Nothobranchius furzeri: one gene and its partner. The protein of the gene in region 1 purifies or fractionates together with the protein of each later gene. This does not show direct contact. Links are inferred from orthologs where the notes say so. Each region holds a gene or a part of one and is shown on either strand. Other genes may lie near its edges.

Region 1 (7,205 bases):
AGAGTGTCGGGGATGGAGTGGAGGGGGTGCGGACGGAGGGCGAGCAGCTACGCTGCGAGGGCCGAACGACGCTGCTTGCAGCTTTAATTCTGATTATTATTGCTCAAAGAAGACCTTAAAAAAACTATTTTTCAGGAGCTTTAACAGTCTGCGCTCTCACTTCCTCGTCCTACATGCAATCACCTCCACAAACACAATTTCAGTCGTACAAATGACTCAGTAAAATTTAATTGAAATCTTAAAAAAAACAAACAGATTAATTTCTCATGATCTAAACCAACGTTTCGCCCCAGGTTAAGAACAAATAAGTTCTCATAAGAGTTTAGGCCTCCGGTGACCCCACGTGGCCTGAACCCCTCACGCTCCCTCGGCTCAGCACAGCAGGTCAAACATCAGCTCGTCTCAGCATCCTGAACGTCTTCCTGTCCAGCACAACATCAGCTCTCCTGTTTGTCTTTGACCAGCAAGACGGTGTGCTGCCCCCCACTGGACGCCATCAGAACTTCACGGTTCTCCAGCTGTTTGCCTGTCATCTTCACGGGGCTCCACTCATCCTCCTCCTCTCCTGTTCCAAGCTGCAGGTTGGTTCCCATGCCCCAAGCATACACCGATCCTGAAAACACACAAACACGCTTCAGTAAGAACTGATATCTAGTCTGGTTTCATTTAATGTGGCGAATATTACAACCAGTTTAAGCTTTTAGCGATCATCAAAAGGTACGAGAACGTGTGGTAGTTCCCAAAAGCCCAAACGACTCTGCTGCCCACCTTCTTTGGTGACGGCGTAGCTGACAGAAGCCCCACATGACACTTCCCGGGCCGACTCCAGCCCTGTCACCGGCGTGGGCTCGCTCTTCTCTTCAGCTCCTCGACCCAGCCCGAGGCGACCGTACTCGGCTCTCCCAAGACTATAAACCTGCCCTAAACATGTGAACAAAAATCAAAAGCAAAACAATTCTGTTAGTTTTTTTTTTTACGTTGGTCAGAATAAAATCAGAGTACGGCGACCCGTCTGTCCACCTTCAGAGTCTAGGCAGAGCGTGTGATGTTGGCCTCCAGAGAAGTCCACCCAAGTGGTCGTTGAGTTCTTGAAACACGTCAGCTTCACCGGGACGAAACACATCTTGGTGCTTTTAGTGCCTGGAAAGAAAAACAGGATTAGCAAACAGTGGGACCACTCACTGGCACGGTTCAGTTCCCACGACACAAACTCAAGACTCACCGAGCTGGTGGTAGTTTGAGAGGCCGAACCCATAAATGTATCCTTCTTTAGACATGGCAAAGGTAAGATACGCCCCGCAGAACACATCCGTAAAGTGAACCCTCCTATTGAGTTTCACCATCTGAGGCACCAGCAGTCGCTCTGGAACCAAAGCACAAGTTTAACTAAACAGAGACACACGAATGTCTTCAGCCGCGTTCTTTTTACCCACCGAGACCTCTCCTGCCCCCTCTGTTTGAAAACTGCTCCGGCACTCGTCCCAGCTGTCCCTGTTCTGCAGAGCCTGATGTGTACAGATCTCCGTCCAGCGTCAGCAGGACCAGGTGGTCATTCCCTGTGAAAGCAGCAGAGTTCCTGTAAACTGGGATTAAACCAAAGGTGTGGAGCTTAAACACAGTAGGGGTTGTATGAACTAGTCGACTTCACTGCTCTGTAGTGACTTTTTATGCCTGTCATCGACTATTCGCTGTCAGGTGATAATGACCGGCAAGATGCAGTCCTCGGAAAATACAGCAGGTGATGAGCTCCTGCGCGTCGGGAGGTAACGCGCTGTGCCAGAGCGTCGGTACTGACACCCGCCGTAAAACGGACATTTAACCAAATTGTGACCTTTACCCTCTTGTAATTTAACCTTCCCCTCACCCCCATCCTAACCTTAACCAGCTTGCGCATGCAAAGCTCTGATCGTTGACACGCTCCAGACATCTGCGTCCTGAGCACAGCCACAGTAACATTATCAAATCAGGTGTCGCCACCTCAAAAACAAATTTAACATGCGATCGTTCATATCGGCTCATTTCCTTTTATGTATTCTGTCTTTTATTCTTTTATTTGTGCCTGATGCGTTTCGCTGCTGTGGATTGGGGCGCATCACCTGTTTTGTCCTCAGTGAAGCACCTAACTGATGCGGCCGGCAAGCAGCACGCACTCCGCTGTTTTTGCGGTCGGTAGATCTTTTAGAACTGCAGTTCAAAGGTAACTCATAAGGTGAATATATATGAACCCAGGTAGCAGTTTCTCTTTAGGATTGAGAGGAGATGCAGGAAGATAATAAACAGGCAGGACAGAAAAATAGTCAAATAAAAACAAGTTAGTTTTTGTACCTGGTGGTTGCAACAAACAGACACCATTGAAGGTAATCAGAAGAGAGGAACACAAAATGAAATAATTATTTTAATGTTTAGAGCAGCAGGAACTCCGAGAGGCTGCAGGCGCATCAGTGAGTTTGTGGCCGCTGCGCAGGGGGAGGGGGGAGAGGGCTGAAGCAGGGGGAGGGGGGAGAGGGCTGAAGCAGGGGGAGGGGGGAGATGGCTGAAGCAGAAACTACCGTTGTTAAAAGAAATGTGTTTAACTTTGAAAATGTGGGCACAATTTTATTTGTCACCCCCCCCCCCCCCCCCCACTTCAAGTGTATGACGTCATCAACGACTAGTCAAAGTCGACTCAATTTTTATTACTTGGCAGTCGACTTTAAAAAAAATTAAGTCATGCAGCCCCTAAAACACAGCATTGTCTACCTGAAGCAACTTTCACTACAGCCTCTGTCAGCTGGATTTTAACAGGAACGGGACACGTCGCCATGGGATCCAGAAGACCAATCACACCATTGTTGTCCTGAGAGGAGCAAAAGCAAACACACAGAGAAAATAATAAACGATTTTTATCGTCCCAGCTGCTCAAATGTTGTTTGTAAACAGCAGTTGACCAACCCTGAAGGAGCCCCAGATGTACACATGTCCATCCTCTGTGAGTGCAGCTGTGTGGCTGTCCCCTGCAGACACCTGGACCACCTTCTCCTCCAGAGACACCTTTCCTGGGACCATCTCAGATCCTTCTTCTGACGTGTCCCGTCCAAGAGCTCCCTCATCATTACAGCCAAATGTGTAGACCTAAACAAATTAACAGTGTTAAACTTGTGGCTTCTCTGTGAAAATAAAGAGAATAAAACCAGGACTGATGTTCACGTACATGCCCGCTTTCACTCAGACACACGGTGTGCATGCCTCCTGCTGCCACTTGCACCATTTTCTCCGGTAAAGACAGAAAAGCTGGCTTCTTCCTCTCAGTGATGTTCTCACCCAGGCCCAGCTGTCCAACATCACCCTGGCCCAGAACTAGAACCTGGCCTGCCTCTTTACGATGACTCCTGTGAGAAACTGATACAAATACAGACACAATCACATCACATTTACAGTAAAATAAACAATCGTGCGGTTGTCTTTTAAACCCAACAGTGTTTTATTCAATAAGAAACAGAAGGTTCTTAAAGCAGTCTTCTAGTCAGCTTGGTAAAGACATTAAGGTCTGCTCGTCCCTTTTAACCCTGTTTTAATGTCGTACCTTTCACCTTTTTTGATTCACCGACATCTTCTCCAACAGCTGCAGACTTTCTTTTATGGACGGTCTTTCTGGAAGACATGGCAGTCGCACTGAAAAAAAAAAAAAAAACAGAAGGAAAACATGAACACCCACAAAAACCCCCCGATCTGTGATAAAAAATATATATCGAATAAAATACCAACTAAAATATCATAATGACAATGAATTCAATGTGTTACACATTCTAAAGACCAGCAAACAGTCCAAGTGTACGACCGAAGAGCCTTTATCACAGCTGCAGCTGATGGGACTCACCAGCTGTCAGATGGTCAACGCAGCAGCTGACGCAACAGTTGTGTGGTGATTCACACACACACACACACACACACACACACACACACACACACACACACACACACACACACACACACACCTTAGGGCGATATATCGGGCCAATATTTGTCCTTGGTAAAGCCGATTTAAAGTCAGGGACATACTCGAACAGTCCGATGATGTTGCAGGAGTTAATTTAAACACGTTTTACATTAGCTAATAACATCTGCATAATACTCTAAATTAACTTTATTTAGATGTCTGACTTTAACACTGAACAATGCACAAAGTTAAGATTTAACAGTTAGTTAAATTCAGAGTTCAAAAACGGATTCAGCTTCACAAATTGTGAGAATCAGATGATGTTATTAGTGACATTTTAGCATGAAAATCAGGTGGAAACTAGGGATGTAAGAAAATATCGATATGGCAATATATCGTGATATTTTTTCCTGCAATATTATATCGATATTCAAAAGCCGTGTATCTAATTTTTGGAAGAATTTACATGCAAACATTTGTGTATTTTCTTTTGGTGCAATTCAAACGCTTATCGCGAGTTGGCAGCAGTGTGTAATGGGTTTTGTTTCCGCCATTAAAATGTAAACCCATCTGTTATGGTTTCGATACCTCATGTTAAACATGTTAAGTATCAGTTTGGACTGTTTATTACATTTTCTTACAATGAAACATTTTCTTACAATGAATTCAGTCTAAAAAAATCACTAAAATCCTCTGGCTGAATGTATCGTAATATTTATCGTCTCCCCTGTATTGTGATACATATCGTATCGGCAAAATTTCACCAATACACATCCCAAGTGGAAAACATCTGGATATAGTCAATAAATTCAGTAGTAGATATCGGCCATCGGCTAATAATGTCTGGGCATCATTGTCGTTGGTATCGGCCAACCTCTAGTTTTAATCAATAACTGAGATTATAGTCAAACAACAAAGTTGTGTTTATGTAGTTCCCTTATTACTGATTTTGAAGTATTGATGAAAGACACACAAAACACTTCTGCTGCCAGGATTATGTTCCCCTTGGGAAATCATTAAATCGAGGCTCACCTGGTCAACAGAAGAAATGTTATTGAGTCAACTTTACCAGAAAATACAAATAAACAAGATCTAAATGAAATAATTTGACATAAATGTGTCTTTAAGAGTTCTATTTCGTCTAGTCTTAGCCCTTAAGCTAGCTGCTATTGGAAGGATGATCTCCGCATCAGCCAATCATGAAGAGCTTAAATGTACGCCCACCAATAGTGGGCCCCCTCGTGGTATATAACCGCAGTGACCCCACTGCTCACCTCCTTTTTCTCTTCATGCCAAGCTTGAGAGCTTTATTAAAGAGCAAATATTATCTCAAAAGAGCGAAATTATCCGAAGACGACTTACCAGCCATGTCCAGCGACGCCAGACCCTGCCCGACCTGCCAGACGGGCTCCATTTCCAGTGGAGACCTGCACACTAAGTGTGAGGTCTGTCTCGGGGCTCACCACGCTGGCCTGGCCTTGACCCCGCAGGCCTCGTGCCCGTTCTGTGCCGCTCTGCCCGTGGCAGAGAAGATTTGCCGGGTCGAGTACTTCACTCCCGCCGCCGACGAAGAATTTCCGGTGGCTGACTCCTACCCGCTGGACAAGGCTTTGGTTTTCTTCGACGCCGGTCAGGAGCCGGCTGGCTTCAACCGGCTGGATGACGTCACCGACAGTGAAAACTACGATGAGGCGGCATCCCTCCTAGACATAACGGAGGTCGACGAGCTTCGCTCAGCGGGTCCTTCTGCCCCAGTGGCTTCTCGCTCCTCCCTGCCAGCAGTAAGAGCACTGCTCCAGGAGCTGCCCGCCATCATTTCTGCGGCAGCAGCCCGCAAGGGGCTAGCTGTGCCAGAACCGGCCCTGCCTGAAGCGGATGATTTGGCGGGAATTTTCGTGGCAACTCAGACACGCTGTCCAGACCCTGTCTGGCCGCGCTTCCCCGCTGCTATGAGCTGCTGGTCTGCCGCCTTCTCCGAGCCTGCCAAGCTCAAGGCGCCAGTCTCCACGTATGCGCCCATCACCAAGGTCGAGGGGTTTTCCAACCAAGGCTGGCCGTCCGTTCCTCCACTAGAGCCGGATTTGGCCTCGCTGTTCGGCGCCAAGAACCACCTCGCTGGCCCGCGAGCTGTTCCCGCTTCAAAACATGACCAGCTGCTGACGCGGCTCACCGACCGCGCACATCAGTGTGCCTTTCAGACCGGCGCTGCAGGGAATAACATCGCCCTTCTTGCCTTCGGCGTCTCCAAGATGATGGAGGAGCTGGAAGCTCCCGAGGAGTCGAAAGCCGTCATAACTAAGACTGCTGATGCTATCCTCAATTTGTGTGCTGCTGTGCTCACCGGTTCTACTCGCATCGCTGCCTGGCAGACCCTCATCCAGCGAGCGATCTGGCTGAAGGCCCTGCCCTCCATTCCGGAACATCTGCAAAGGGAGATGCTGGATGGCCCCATCACCACCGATGTTCTGTTTGGTCCCCATCTTAGGGGCGTCATTGAGAGTGCTCAGAAGACGGCCGAACTATCGGCTACGGTGCGAGACCTGGTCCACCCTCGGTCAGCCTCGCACTCCGGCCGTTCAGCCAGAGGATGGGACGGACGGCGCGGAAGCTTCAGACGTCCAGCTGCACCGCCCGCTCCACGGAGCCGGCCTCCCGCTTTGGCTCCGCATCAGCGGGACCAGCGAGATGGCGGACAACGGTTCCGGCGGGGCCAGCAGACGCCGTCTTGGCAGTCCCAGGTGCAGGAGCCTCGCCGAAAGCAGCCACGGAAGTGACTCTTTGGGGGGAATGTGTGTGTTACTGATTGTTCTGATGTTGTTGGTTTTGAAATAAAACCCAAAAAACGTCACTCAAAGAGCTCAATCCTACAGTCCTCCGCAGAATCCTCTGCCGAGTTTTCACACATGTTCCCCACACCAAGCACTGCTGCACGCACACATGTTCCTGCAGGTAGTCATAATACACGGCCAGCCGTAAGGGTGCGCTCCATTTGCGCTCTGGCCCCAGCATCCGGCCAAGCCCAACTCTTCCCGCTCTCCCCACGCCGTTGGGTGGGGCGGGATGTCATGTCGCTGTCTCGACCACGCGCGGCGGCACAGTGCGCGGCTCCATCCGCTAGCACTCTGTCGCCCCCGTGCACAGGCCCGGCTCCCACTCGTCCTTCACTCTCGGACTCCACGCTCCGCGGTGTGGACCAGCCTGTTCCAGCTGTTTCGCACTTGCCCTTTCGAGCGCAGCCCTCCATGGGTCGCCCCCAGTTCTCTGGTACGGGCGACGGCGGTAAGGGCGC
Region 2 (8,001 bases), on another chromosome or scaffold:
AAAAAAAAAATCTGCTCACACACAAATATATCTAGCTCTAATTTGATGTGTAAAATATGTGTATGATAAACTGTAACGGATAGTTTGTGTTGTGGAGATTAACCACGTCATCTACGTGGACGAAGTTGAGGAGTGTGGTTTAAATTGAGTCTGCCTTGACATCAGTGCCAAACATGGCCACAAACACACCACCTCAGTCGCAGCAAGCAGGTGACATCGGTGCAGAAAGAGGAAAAATCTATTTACTTTGCTGTCTGGTACAGCTCAGGTGTTGTTCACTTAGTGTTTGCTGTTTAGTGTCCAGATGTACGCCCGTTTAACAGAAGAAAAGCAGACAAAGCAAAGCTACATGTTACATTTGTTTGCTTTAAGTCTGTATTTGCATTAAAAAATAAGCCATTGTTGCCTTTTGAGGAAAAGTTGTTTCCTACACAAGAGGTTGTGTCTGAGACACTGTTGTACACTTAAGGGACAATGCAATGCTTAGTATTTTATTTTGAGCAGAAAGTGAATCAGGGTGGGTAAAAATAAAAAATGGCTCGCGTTTGAAGTGACGTGATGTTGCTAGGTATAAAATCACTTCATGAAGGATTTTTTTTCTTTTCTAATTAATTCAGTCCTCCAAAGGTCACAGCAGCTGTTGGTCCTGCTGTCGCCCAGGCTGGAGGTTACACGTTGCTCTAATTTAGCTCGCCATGGTCTCTCCTTAAGGTGTCACCCAGCTGCCTTAACACATGTTGTGAGGCTGCAGTCAACTACCTGGATGGGTAGGTGATCGAGACGGAGCGGTTTCCCTCAAAGTTATCCGACCACAAATCAAAATGCAATCGATGTCATTCCTCAAGATGACTGCCATTAGTCTTGTTTTTATTTTAGGATGGACATCACTGCAGGTCAGGGGCCATTCCTGACGGGCAACGACTACCAGCCACAAGCTGACTTTGATTTCTGAGACAATTGTGTATAATACAGAATAAACTGTATGTGTTCCTATTTTTGTGAAGAGGAAAAATTCCCAGTGACCCAAGCAAAGTAAATAAACTTTCCAACTTTGAGTGAATCAGATTCCTTCCTAACGAACACACCAGGACACTCATGTAGCACATCTTTAGTGATTTTCTTTACAGGTCCAAATGTGTGGTCTTTGATAGGCTTTATTTGAAGTTAGAGGAAACATTTCAGATCATCCGAGTGCAAATGAAGAGTAACATTTCATCCACATACATGTATTTACAGAATGCACTGGCACTTAGATGCACTTGAGATTGGAGGTTAAGAAATTAATTAGTGGGACGAAAAGGAGAGTTGTGAACAGATTAGATGGGGGTGCACTCCATTACACACATGCTTCTAAAGTCTGGAGATGTTATGGTAAATAACAAACTGATGTCTTGGTGAGATGCAAAAGTTCCACACCAAACTGAAACGGTTTACTTTGGGCTTAATGGATCTGAAAAGTCTGAAACAAAAGGGAATATGAAGTTCTTAGCTAAGTGCATCTGACCTCAGTCAGGGATGGGTGAACGTGGCCATCTGAAATCTGTCTGGAGGACTCCTCTTGAAGTCCGCTACCAACAGATCCGAGTAAAGAGGAGCTGAGAAAGAACTACCTCTACAAAGCAACCAAGAAGTCTTCATCTTACTTGTGATCTAACAGCAGCAGAAGTGTGAACAGGGTGCGAAGGCCCGCTGAGATGCATCATGGGGTTTCATCCTCCATAATGCCTGGTCCCAGACCCTGTACTGCTAATAAGCAGGCTACATTATCCTCTCTCCTCACAAATGAACTTTGCTTCAGAATAATGAAAAACAAAAAGTGGGAATGATCTCTTTCACAAGCCCCTTCAGTTTGTCAGTAATATCGAACGCTTGGTGACAAAGTGATGGTAGGCATGATTTTCCATTGTGCAGAGGGAAAAGCGTGGGAGGAGCTTTTTTCTTTCACAAAATCACTGATTTTCCCACACAGCATCAAAGACCTGTGATCTTGAGGCAAAACAGATTTAAAAAAAAAAAATGCAAGTGTCCAAATTCTGTTCATTTAGAGTCTATTGTAGAAAAAGGGAGAAACATGATAAACTGAAGATCAGCAAAGCAAGTTCTTGGGTTTCTAATTCTTCTCCTCAGCTTTCAGCTCCTTTTTCTCATCTTTTTTCTTCTCACTTTCCTTTTTGTCCTCCTTTTCTGCAGACACCTTGTCTTTAACGGATAACCCCCCCAGCTTCTCAACCACCTGGTTCTCATTGTCGAGGTCTTCCCCTGTGTTGAAGCAATAAAACAAGCCATGGCATCAAAAGCTATGAATAATTTAACAAGCTAGCTTTTCTTCACAAAGCTTTATATTTACACCACTTGATAACTCTCTGTGTGTGTGTGTGTGTCCCAGAACATACTGACGCCAGCCCTGTAGTAAAGCTAGCACTGGTACATCCTGTGTGTTCATGTAGCAGACAGAAAAAGTCCCAAGCTGGAGTGAACAGCAAAGAACAGAGTGTGTCTGCAGCCTTTAAATGATTAAAAAGACTGGAGTTCATCTTTACCTCAATCCATTCACAACTGAGGTTTACGCTTTACTCACCTGATTTCTCTAGAACTTTTCTCACTTCCTCCTTGCATTCATCAAACTTCACCTTGAACTTCTGAGCGTCTGTGGACAGACATGATCATGTGTGAGCAAAAGTAAGCACGTATGAGCAGCTCTTAGTACAACACCTGGATTAAAGTACGTACTTTCTGCATTTAAAAAGCGTATTGCCAGGAGTTCCTGTTTGGGGGACTCATCAGCGTAATCTGCTAATGTGTTCCAGACCCATGCTCTGTCACTGCCAGCGTTTGGCTTCAACTCCATCACGGGAAAAACTGTCATTCACAAGAGGGTGCAAGGGTCATTAACACCGCTATAAAAAGAGACCACAAGTTACTTTATAAATCCAAATACTGCAGACATTTTGAGAAATTACGGAAGCTCTTTTGCAAAATCATTCTCAATTTTCCAGCTTCAGTTGCAGATCAGACAGGTGTACTGGTTAGTCACGATAGAGATGAGCATGACCTGTTTTCTCAAGTGTTTCTCCTGTTTACTCAGGATGCTAAAGAATCCAGAATACATAAGGGTTCACTTTTAATTTAAATGTACACACGCCAACAAGTCCAGCTAGGTCTTGAATTGTGGTTTGACTTAATGACTCACTATGATGATTGGCACAAATCTTCAGGGTTCGGTCTCTCCTCATCAAGAGACGAATTGTACCCTTCTCTTTGTGTTTCAGCAGCTTGACATCACCAGTTCCTCTCTCCTTCCATTCGGGTGGATCGTTCTCAGAGGCAAAGCGATAAAGTTTAGCTCGCCTAGGAAAACAGGAAAGTCCTTCATTAAACTAACTTTTATACTAACGATAAACATGAGCATTTAAAATAAAAGATTGCTTGTAGAATCTCCCCAATAACCAGCTTTTTTCCTTTTAAATTTTAATCAACAGCAAATATTTGGGCAGAAAATGGCTAATGTTCACGTCAAGAATCAAATTTGTAACCCCGTAAAGAAAATAAAACAAATGCGACAAATGAAGCATCTTACATTTTAAAGAGCTCCTCTTCGTCTTCTTCTAATGTTTTAACATCCTGCTCTGGGAGAGACACGATGGGCTCAAATTGTGGGTCGTGATTGGAGTCCTCTGTATTGTCTGCAGTGGGCTCGTGGTCTTCCTGATCCTAAGAGAAAAGAAGTGGGTTTAGAAAACGTAGCACAGCATTTATGTTTGTCGGTGCGGTTCTTGAATTTACAGGAGCAAAGTGAAGGCATCAACAAACAATAAATGTTTCAGTAAAGGAATACAAGAGCTTTGATAAACCGCAGCTTTTCATCATTATTATACACGTTTTCCTCCATTAAAGTGCTTAAAAATTCAGGAAGATGTACAGTCAGTTTTAAAGGATGGCTAAAGACAACAATTTATGTGACATGAAAAAGCCATGAAGCTACAAATTGAAAAAAATCCCATCTAAAACTTTCAGAGGGCCATTTTCCAGGTTTGATGGTTTACAAAAACGTGTTTATTCACTGATCTCAATTATCGTTTATATATCTTAAGTATGCAGCTATAATTCTAAAATGAAATTAACTCAGTCAGACTAGAGTTGTTTAATTAACCGATAACTACGTTGCCCGGCTAGTTAGAGGCCTGTAAGGCTGACGCTAGACCGCGGCTAATCATGGTTGGGCTGTTAACTCGGTCTAACGAAAACAACTAAAACACACGCTAATCTGGAAGTTCTGCATTAGTCTGGGGATAACTCAGACTTCATTACAACATTGTTGTTAATAAAACAACACGGGGTTGCTCTCCCCTTCGCCCTAGCATGAATGCTAGCATTAGCAACTGTTGTAGTAGGCAGACAAAGGCAAAAACCGCAGCTAACCGCGTTATCTGCTTCCAGCTGATGAGTAGATTAATACAACTTCGTAAAGACAACAATAAATTATTAATTGTTTGATGTTAATCGTCTAACGTTGCTACCGAGCATTGTAATGTGGCTAACATGCTGACTCGCTGGATACTTCAGTGTACTTCTCGGAGCTCGTAAACCTCAACACTACAGCGACATATTATGTCAAATTTCAAAGCAAATGTACAACACACTAGTTTCAGCGATGTTTTTATGTAACTGGCGTGAATGACAGTGGGCGAAAACACCCCAAAACGCTTTTCTAGCATCACGGAGAGCAACTTCATTGTCCGCATATCTGTCTCTTGGCTTCCTTTCCTAAATTTTGCGAATTTTCAGACACTAAATACAATTTCCGTCATGAAATTCTAATTTTAAAGGAAACTGGATGTGTAGATTAACAAAGAAAGTGTGTCCTCACCTTGGGGTCTGCCATATTAAAGTAGATGTTTAAAGATTATGGAAGTTGTTTGAGAGATTCAAATACCAAACAGACCGCCGTATGCCTCCAGCTCCTCTCACTTCCTGCTAGAGCTTTCGCGCGCCGAATCCTGTTCTTTTTCTTCTTCGTTGTTTTTATTGACGGTTAAAAAACAACGGCTTAGTGCAATACCGCCCTCAACTGGTATGGAGTCCCAGATAGCAAATTCTTTTTGGCCCTAGTTTGGCAAGCCAGTCTTGGTACTCTTTTGGATGGAATGATGGGCCAAATATGGCCCAAATTAGGCACACCAAAATATAATTATGGATTGTCAAAAGGTTGCCAGAATCATTTTTGGCACTAGTTTGGCAAGCCAGTCTTGGTACTCTTTTGGGTGGAATGATGGGCCAAATATGGCCCAAATAAGGCATGCCAAAATAGAATTATAGATTGTCAAAAGGTTGCCAGAATTCTTCCAAAATAAATTGTGGAATTCCAAAGCACAACCATAACTATACCAAAAGAACCCCAAAACACCACAAAATGGCCAAAGGATATCAAAGTGTAACCATAAGTTTGCCAAAAGATTACCCAAAATAAAATGTGGCTTTCCAAAGCATAGCCATAACTATCCCAAAATCCCACAATAAAGCCAAATATGAACTATAACTTATCCATAATTAGCCAAACGTTTACCAAAAGATTGTATTTTATTCTGAACCTTATGCTAAATTTAATTCAACATTTTAATAGACTATAAAATGTCCTTGTACAGAAGATTCAGATTTTGTGCCTTAGTTAAATAGCCTTGTGAAATAGCCTAGGTTACTGTGTGTACAAGGTGCATAAACATAAAACCAAACAAGAGTAAAATTTGAATATTTTATTTATTTGTTTTTTTAAAAGTCAGTCCTGGACTGAGTCCTGGGCTGGTTGAGGGGTTGGTTGGGCGGGCAATCTCCTTTTGCGTCCCTATCCCCAGCCCAGTAGAACCATTTTTTAATTGTATTTATAATTTCTGCCTCCGTAGATGCCACACAGACCGGATTCCTTCTCACTGCAGCTGAAAATAAAGGCATATACATGGAGAAAGACTTAAAAAAGGATGACGCAACAGTCCATGCAAAAGTGACCTGTGGTGGGCTAAGTAACTGGCTAGTTAAAAAGTCAGTTTTGCATTCGTTAATGGATTCATCTCGTCATCTGGGGTTGAAAGTGACAGCCAAAGTTACAACATCAAATCGTCATAGTCACTTAGTACTTACACTGCCACAGTTTACCAAACACAAACCAGCGGTTCTTTCCTGACACTAAAACCAAACAAGAATTTCACGAGCGAGAGTTGACCCTGAAGAACGCGTCACATTGCGGGCAAAGTGGCAATAGCTGTCTTGAAGCCAGCGATAGCGTGGTGTTATAATTTCGAGACTTGTGACATTCACAGGCGCACTGCATGCCATTTCGCAAACAAGTTGTTAAGACTAAGTATTTTGACTTTGAAAAGAAATGTGATTGTCATGGGTGGCTAATAATTTTATCCTAAACTATAATTTTATCAGCTGTGTGATAGAACAGTCGTGTTACTGTTGTGATTAAACTTACCAATTACAATGCCTTTTAGGTGGAGCCTCTCAAAGGCCACCTTCCCATTTTGCCCTCACCAAGTAATTCCCTTGGTGAGGGCATTAGTCATGGCTCCTTTGAGGACCCGCCACACAGTGTCCTTTACTGTGGACACACCCCCCACACCCCCACACCCCCGCAAGGCTGAGTGTTGAACCCTAAAATTAGAAAAATTGATCTTCGTTAATTTTTCAAACCAACAAAGATTGATTTTCATTGAATTTTCAAACATATATTATACAAACTTAAAGAAAAGTCTGGATAGCCATTGTGTTCCGCTATTTATTTATTTGGTGTTTCGTGATTGCCTGATGAAGGACAGAGACCTGAAACGTGGGGGGCGCAAATAATTGGGTGGAGCTCGTTAGCTGCACAACATGTCCTTTAACTCCTTTGGCATATCTACCACTTTAAGATATTGAACAACACATAAATTGGATGTGCATTCCAAAATGCATTGTCCAAAACTTTGTTGTAAAGAACAGAAAAAAAGCTCACCAATTCATGGGCCAATGTTGGACTGATTCCAAGCTCCCTCTCCAGGGCCATCAGGGCCTAAACATCTGCCAAGGGGAAGATGCCATGGTGCCTGGTCTCCACACTCCCCCCTTGTGGTCAGGCCCTGAAGAGCAGCAACAGCAACAAAAAGGTCCTGCACCATTTTGGTGAGGCCGCGCTGCTGCTGAAGGATTATTTCCTGTTTCACCAGGACTTCATGCAGGAGAGCTGAAAAGCATTTCAGACACAAAGAAACAACATAGTTTAAGCATTTTTTACATTTACATGTTGTGTGTGTGTGTGTGTGTGTGTTTAACTTTATAAACCATCTTATATTAGTATGTATGCGTGGATCATGTGTGTTCGTATACTGTAACTGGCATGTGAGGACTGGGTGAGTGTAAACCATAAAAACCTTACATGTCGTGTCGTCCCTCTGCTGCCACTGCCCTGGAGAGGAGTTAGGGCAAACTGTAGGCACCTGGAGAGCCGGTTCCTCCCTCATCATCCCACCAGATGAAGAGGGAGTTGGAACTGGAACCCCCTGGGTTCCCTGGTGACCCTGCAGGTCAATGGCCTGCCGCAATGATGTCCCCAGGGTCGTGACATGCTGGAAGAGTGTGTAGAAGAGGGAGCGGAAAAAGAACAACAGTTTACAAAATGCAATTATTGACCTCAACACTGACGTAATGGCTCCAGAAGCGTTTTTCTCCATGTAACTGCCTCATTAACCTTTGTAAATTTCCTAGCGTATCACATTTGAAACACCACACGTACATGATCAGCTACACTCAAACCCATTTGCTATACATACGTTACTGTGGTATTTGTTGAGATTTCCATTACCTGGTAATTGGTCAGGTCAGGGAGAGGCACAGGTTATTGGGGAGGATGAACCTTCTCCTCACCGGGGGGATGGCTGGGGGTGGGGGAAGCCCTCTTCCAGGGGTCTGGGCTTCATCCTCTGATGAGGCCTGGTCCTGGACATATACTTGGCCTTTGGAAATGATAAC

Evidence for each region. The genes of interacting proteins can lie anywhere in the genome.
Region 2: the proteins of rcc1 (region 1) and ranbp1 purify together in Homo sapiens (affinity purification with mass spectrometry; 3 studies listed by BioGRID and IntAct, counting the BioPlex papers as one, with this or other methods). This does not show direct contact. The link is inferred for Nothobranchius furzeri from reciprocal best matches to the Homo sapiens genes RCC1 and RANBP1.

Annotation. Positions count from the first base shown.
Region 1 is NC_091745.1:40,112,387-40,119,591, reverse strand, and holds the end of rcc1 (regulator of chromosome condensation), read right to left. Parts: intron 3,800-7,205; exon of another isoform or gene 3,781-3,799; intron 3,652-3,780; 5' UTR 3,642-3,651; coding exon 3,563-3,641; intron 3,379-3,562; coding exon 3,191-3,378; intron 3,112-3,190; coding exon 2,932-3,111; intron 2,837-2,931; coding exon 2,740-2,836; intron 1,557-2,739; coding exon 1,434-1,556; intron 1,364-1,433; coding exon 1,223-1,363; intron 1,141-1,222; coding exon 1,021-1,140; intron 922-1,020; coding exon 769-921; intron 614-768; coding exon 438-613; 3' UTR 207-437; downstream 1-206. UniProt on the Homo sapiens protein: Guanine-nucleotide releasing factor that promotes the exchange of Ran-bound GDP by GTP, and thereby plays an important role in RAN-mediated functions in nuclear import and mitosis.
Region 2 is NC_091757.1:31,789,826-31,797,826, reverse strand, and holds ranbp1 (ran-specific GTPase-activating protein), read right to left. Parts: upstream 5,014-8,001; 5' UTR 4,883-5,013; coding exon 4,868-4,882; intron 3,712-4,867; coding exon 3,578-3,711; intron 3,349-3,577; coding exon 3,191-3,348; intron 2,860-3,190; coding exon 2,731-2,859; intron 2,648-2,730; coding exon 2,579-2,647; intron 2,502-2,578; exon of another isoform or gene 2,374-2,501; intron 2,260-2,373; coding exon 2,111-2,259; 3' UTR 1,446-2,110; downstream 1-1,445. UniProt on the Homo sapiens protein: Plays a role in RAN-dependent nucleocytoplasmic transport. Alleviates the TNPO1-dependent inhibition of RAN GTPase activity and mediates the dissociation of RAN from proteins involved in transport into the nucleus.